2 linked regions of the Saccharomyces cerevisiae S288C genome follow. The gene in region 2 interacts genetically with the main gene of each other region. Each region holds a gene or a part of one and is shown on either strand. Other genes may lie near its edges.

The links.
Region 1: mutations in STL1 (region 2) and MIC19 together harm fitness more than expected from each alone (negative genetic interaction), as found in Saccharomyces cerevisiae (2 studies listed by BioGRID).

Annotation. Positions count from the first base shown.
Region 1 is NC_001138.5:166,246-169,325, forward strand, and holds MIC19 (Mic19p), read right to left. Parts: upstream 1,014-3,080; coding exon 501-1,013; downstream 1-500. Other genes in the region: ubiquitin-specific protease UBP6, read left to right, coding at 1-321; DCV1 (Dcv1p), read left to right, coding at 1,643-2,251; YFR012W-A (uncharacterized protein), read left to right, coding at 2,979-3,065.
Region 2 is NC_001136.10:1,505,670-1,509,604, reverse strand, and holds the start of STL1 (glucose-inactivated glycerol proton symporter STL1), read right to left. Parts: upstream 1,601-3,935; coding exon 1-1,600.

The sequences.
Region 1 (3,080 bases), on a different chromosome or scaffold from region 2:
TATGAGACACAAGTGGCTCTTAACGAAAGTGAAAAAGATCAATGGCTCGAAGAGTATAAGAAACATTTTCCTCCAAACTTGGAAAAAGGTGAAAACCCATCTTGTGTTTATAACTTGATCGGTGTCATTACACATCAAGGTGCCAATTCTGAGTCTGGACACTATCAAGCTTTCATAAGGGACGAACTGGACGAAAATAAATGGTACAAATTTAATGATGATAAAGTTAGCGTTGTTGAAAAGGAAAAAATTGAATCTTTAGCCGGTGGGGGCGAAAGTGATAGTGCACTGATCTTAATGTATAAAGGATTTGGTCTGTAAGTCCATTTTTCATTTTTTCAAAATTAATAGTTTTTTCGGAATATACATATACATTTTTTTACATACACATAAAAATATTTCTCTCCCTTTTACGTTCATCCGCCAATCGATAAAAATGCATTTTATATACATGAAATGGCGAATTCTTTTTGGTCGAGTTTATGTATACTTTTTCTTATTCAACCCATAACGAGCTTCTTGAATTCTTCCATCTCTTCGTAACAATTCAATGGCTTGCCCTTATTGGCCAAAAGACACTCAGTCAATTTTGCCTTTATAGAAATGCTGCCGTTGTCGGTTTTTTTATCAGATTTACCTTTGGCACCCCCATATTTCTCCAACTTTTGTAACTCTAATTGATCAAATAATGTTAGTTTCTTGTTCAACGACTCGATTTGATTATTCAATGAACTTGATGATATTCCATCAACGGCATCCTTGTCGTCGTCTGATAATAGTGAATTGTTCAAAGTATCTTCAAACTTCTTTAACGTTTCAACTTCTAGGTTAGATAGCCTTTGTGAAACCTTCTTCTCAATGAACTTTTCTGCATTTTGCTTGGTGACATAGTCTGATTCCTTCGATGAATCCAATTGAGAAACCAAAGACTGTGAAAAATCGATCTGTGTTAGCGGAGTATAGACTTGTTGTTTTTCTGCACCAGCACCCACTTTGGAAGTGTTTGAACCCATGATTGACTCTGTATTAGTCGATATACCACCTTGTTTTTGTTCTTGAATTTTTTTTTGATTAGCAATCTCTTTGAAATGTTCCTCCTCACTTGTTTTTTCCTCTGCGTCTCATTGGAAGAAGAAATATATATATATGCGACATACCACGAATATTCGTAGTTTTTTACAACAAAAACGACTCTCGGTAGCCAAGTTGGTTTAAGGCGCAAGACTGTAATTTACCACTACGAAATCTTGAGATCGGGCGTTCGACTCGCCCCCGGGAGATATTTTTTTAAATCTTGCAGCTTTCAATATTTAAATATAAGTAATAAACCATCAGTTAAACAACAGAACAAGTATTTCTTAAATCTCATGAAAAATCTAATAATGTTATTTGCCGAATTTTATTATTGATTTGGTTGGTCTTCTTGATAATTCTGTGGGCGCTTTTTTTGTGACATATTAAAATTGCGAAATTGCAAACGAAAATATAAATATATATGAATGTTAATAAATAAATTATTTAATTGATGATTGAGGATGAAATACACTTTTATGATCTGTCCTTACGCGTAATAATTACAAGAAGGTGAGAAAATTGCCTTTTTTTGCTAATTTTTTTTTTTTGGTACCATATTCAATAATTGATGCTAAATTATAAATTGATTTTATTGTTTTCCTCTTTCCTACAATTAATCTCTTTTTCTGGCTTTATGATATGTTGTTTAACTTCACCAATAATTAGAAACTGGGGGCTGGCTCAAGCTGCTGGAGTTTCATATGGTACCTTTGGTTACTGTAAAACTTTGAATTCTTTTTCCTGCTCTCGAGTACGTTTAATATATAACACCTCGAAAGAAATATTACCTGGCCCTTCTCTTGAACGTTGGTGGCTGAGTCCTAAGGCAAGACATACAATAGGAGGACTTTTGATTTCGATACCGGTTGCTACATGTTTGACTTTCATTTCTTTTGCACTTCCCTTGGTTATTATTTTTCTTTTTCAGACTGGAGGAACTAATGTCTCACTTATTACTTCCAACGCTATATTACACATATTGACACTTTTATCAACTATTTTTGCATGCACCGTGATCCTGTTACTTTGCATGCACCGTGATCCTGTTACAATTTCATCCTTATACGACTTGGTGTGGCTGGCTAACTGTTCCCTGTTCCCTCTGCTCGTTATTGGCGTGCATTTTCTCAGTTTTAGGTTTGATACGTCTGCGCAGTCAGACAGAAAACATAGCTAAAGAAGCTAGTATAGAGAACGTAGACAGTATTCTCAAACTATATGGAACGAGTCAAACATCAAGTTCCCTTGGCGAAAATTATCCACAAACAACTAAGGGCACAGACCAATCTGTGTATGACATCACAAGTCTTTTTAATGATCTACCAAGGACCTTAGATCCCAATCAAGATAAACTGGCGGTAACAAATCAAGATGAACCACCGCCTGAAATCAAATCTCCATTGAAGCAAGCAGGTTTGGTGAGTTTCTTCGCTCCAAAGTTGAATGGTAAACAAATATTTTCTAGAAGGCATGTTGAAAATCAAAAATCCTTATCTTTGGATGAAATCAATATAACCGACTTACCTGCAAAGCAAGAAAATGTGGAAATGCCTACTGAAAAAAAAAAGGCAAATATTTTATATTATGAGGGAATCTCAAGCCATTCACAAGATAACTACGACCCTCCTTGGTTATTTGGCGTTGAGGCTACCCAATCAGCCGATTGCTTTAAAATATATTCAAAAAAAAATCATTGTCTCACAGAGCCCCGCCAATATCAACTACAACAACCAAATAATTACCAGGATCAAAGTGAGGTTCCTCATAACTCTTTCATTCCTTGGTATTCCCGAAGAAGACCAGTAGGATACAACCACAATTACAATCGCTACTACTCACAGACAACTCATGGTAACAGCGAACACTCCCGACAAACATTGCCACAGACCTACAACATACACAGCATGCTCCCCAGAAAGTACAAGCCCGCCTACAAAAAACAGGCACATCGTGTGAAGAGTAATCCACAACCAGCTTATACTTTCCAATGACAAAATAACAAGAAT
Region 2 (3,935 bases):
CACCAAAGTCCTCTTTTTCCATTTCGTCGTCATAAGAGCCCAATGCATTGGCATGATCTTCGACTTCTTGTAGGGATAACTTGGGCAAATGGTTAGCAACTCTCCATGGTTGAGTGCCATCCTCGTATGCTTTAGCAAAGATGATGTCGATTTCCTCCAAACTTCTTCCGGCGGTTTCAGGGTAGAAAAAGAAGATAACTGGAATGTATAAATAATTCATAACAGCAAAAAATAAGTAGCAACCCCAACCGGACTGTCCAATAAATATTGGGGTGAACATGACAACCGCAAAGTTACACAACCAATTAGTACATGTGGAGAAAGCGTTTGTTGATGCACGAACTTTCATTGATGCAATTTCTGGTGGGTATATCCATGGTAATGATAGCAAAGACAAACCAAAGAATGTAATGAACAAAAATAAGCCGACGGCAGCACCTCTTGCGTTTTCTTTATTTTCTTTGACCAAGCATGCAAATGTAATTGTGAATGAAACTGCTTGACCTGTGGCACCTAATAAAAACAGCTTACGTCTACCTAGCTTTTCAATTAGAAAAAATGAACCAATAGTAGATAAGGCGTAGATTGTTGCGAAGACCCCACCTATGATCATTGATAATCTATAGTCTAATTTAATTGTTTTGTTGAATAATACAGTAGAGTAGTATATGGCAGCGTTACAACCAGTAAATTGCTGGAAAAATTGCGTTGAAGCTGCAATCAAAGCCCTCTGAAGATTTTGGGACCTGCCTCTGGAGAACAAACTTGACAGTGAATGTTTCTCGTGTTTGGTCCTGTTAACAGCATCGTGAAGCATAGCAACTTCTGTTATAACTTCCTCATCATTTGGATCCGCGTCGTCTAGTGTTCCTACCAAGTAGCGAGCTTCTTCTGTTCGACTTTGAGAAATCAGCCAACGTGGCGATTCAGGTAGTTTAATCATGAAAGCAAGCAGGAAGAGAGCAAAAACGATTTGCATTGACACGGGGAATCTCCACTGAACAGAACTGTTGGTATAAGACAACCCAAAATCAATCCAATAAGCAATCATAGTACCAAAAGCAATTGTGGAACCTTCTAAATTGACCAGCAACCCTCTATTTTCAGCTTTTGACATTTCTGATTGCCAAACGGGAATAGTAGATGTATTCAACCCTGTTCCAACACCGGTGACGACTCTTCCGATGATAAACTGGCCTAATGCCCAGTAACCACGAAATGCGCATGTAGAAATAACGGCACCAATGATGGTTATTACGGAACCCATCAGGATTAATGGTTTTCTACCAATTCTTTCACCGCAGAACATAACGAATAGAGAACCTGCGAAACAACCTAATTCATAACAGGAGGTTGTAGCGCCCTGCACTACAGTTGCGTGTCTGTCATGATCGCCATTTTCTTTGGTTGCTGGAAATTCATAGTTGAACTGTTTACCAGTAATTAGACTTGCCATCAACCCTTGGTCGTATCCAAACAGGGAGAAGCCCGTCATAGATGCGATAGTGATGAAATACCGCAACTTCTTACCCGTAAGTCCCCAGTGACTGGTTCTGCTTATAAATTTGCCTTTGAAATTCGATAATTTTAAATCCTTCATGGTCTAAAACTTTCTATGTTCTATTTTTCTATTTTTTATTTATTCTAACTTGTATGCTAGAACACGTATACAAAATAATTATTCAAAATCAATAAAGGGCTTGTTTATATACTATGAGTGTGACTACTCCTGAACTGCAATTCTGACCCTCTAAGGCCAAGCAGCGTTGAAGGGGACAAAATTGAAGCTAAAACATCTCACTTAAGCTTTCTCAATTTCTCTATCTACTTCCTTTTTGTTACGAATGCCCCAATGAAAGCCCTATCAAAGGTGAACCAAAAGTGTTTCCCTTACCGGGATCTGCACTTTCTCAGATTACTACTATCGCGAAGCAGCCAAGCGCAATAGCTGCACCTGGCGAGGATTAACCAACCAAAAACGGTATATAGCCGAGAAACAGTGTACAACCATTATTTCTTTCTGACGTAGTGGATGGCTGGACACTTTCCGCTTATTTTAGTTTCATGCAACGAACAGAGCCGCTCGAACAGGCGACGTAGCGCCGAATACCCCGCGAAACGGAGATGCTACTCAAATGCAGGTAGCGGAGGCATCGCCGTGGGGTATGCGGTGGCCGAAAAAGGACAAAGTCGGACCCTTCATATCAGTTAAAATGACGCAAGTTGAGTCAAAGTGAGCCAAATGGGCCAAATGCGGTGGAATAGTGGGACAACGGCACTTATTTCGTCCGTACGTCCGTTATGGATGTGTATACTATTTCATGATTGGCTTACCTCAAAGAAAATGAAACGGATGGTGCCTCCTAGCCTTGGCAATGAGTATCAGTAGTGGTGTTCTGCAGCCCTTTAATTCTATCTTGGCCGCATTCCAGACATATCCCTTATAGTTATGACGTATATGATTGTGGGGCATTGTTTGCCAAGGAAAATGGAGTAAGTTGAATGAAGAATATGGATTAGTGGTTCTAGGTCGCTCGTAATATCAGACTGAAAGACATTATCTTTGCAAAGGTTGTAAAAGGAGTATTTCAGAATCATTGCTGATTCACACGCGAGACCACATTAGTAAATTTTCTACTCTCGGGCTGAATTCCTCGGCGAAGCTTTGCCTTGCCATTTTAGGTGAGAATACGTATTTGCGGTATCATATTGTTTTTCTTCTCTTCCTTAACTCATTTAGAAAGTTCGATAGTGAACAAAGCGCTACACAAATATTTGATCATGGCAAAGTTACCGCGCCAATCGCCCTGCGCATTGTAGTCGCCTGCTCCTTCAGTTCGTCCGCTGGTTGCGGAATATTTGAATGTCAGTTTTCAACATTGAAACATCAGATAATGTTGGTATCGTGTTTAAATGATGGACGCATCTACGTCACCTTAAGTGCGTTTTTGCCTGTGAGATTTTTATTTCATTGTGTCCACTTGCTATTGTCTGGTTGATATTCCGATGTTTGTCGAGTTTTTTTATTTGCTCTCTGCTTTCATTTTTCTGCACTTCTGGCACATGGTCTAGCCTTTCTTAGTCCAGAAGCAACTGTCACCATTGAATAACGTTGCACTTCAACCTGTCCGTTTATCCAACTGTTTATATCGGTAGAAATAAGGGTATAAGAATAAATTGGCTGGTCAATTGATCGATGAAATTATCGAGCTTTTTTTTTTACTGCATGATCCCTGTCTTCTGAGGCTGTGTAACTTTTTTACTGCCTAAGAACTCTCGGACCCTTCTTTGGTGTTGCCTCAGAAATAGTATGGTGTATTAGCACCATAATAAAAATTTTTACAAAAGCCACTATTATCCTCACTCACCGATGAATGAACATATATGACCTCCAAGATATTCGATCTTACTGAATGGGGTAGACTTTATAAGCGGTTGCCGATTAGCTTAGAAGAACAATTCCTTTTTCTTTCCATTTGGTATTGTACTTTTCTAATGAACTTGGTTAGTTCTGCTTTATCTTTTACACCTGGAAACACAGGCCATAGCACATGTCATGATTTCCGATTTTATTTCTTTTGATTCTTTCGTAATCTGCAATTTCATTGATCCATAGCAAAGGAAACTCTAACGCAATAAGAAGAAAATTATGTTTGTACAATAGAGTTAAATACGCTGCTATTTTCGTCAGAATAAGGTTAATGATTATTAACTCTTAAAAAGTCGATTTTTGATGCATCAAGAAGGTAAATTACCCACAAATTTTTAGCCGACTGTGTATTTTCATATCGCTTCGTGCTATTTTATCTTATCGATTATTTGGTAGTCAATGAAGAAAGATTATTTGGTAGCCAATGGAGAAAGATTATTTGGTAGCCAATGGAGAAAAATTATTTGGTAGTCAATGGAGAAACATTATTTTAATCCTTATATTT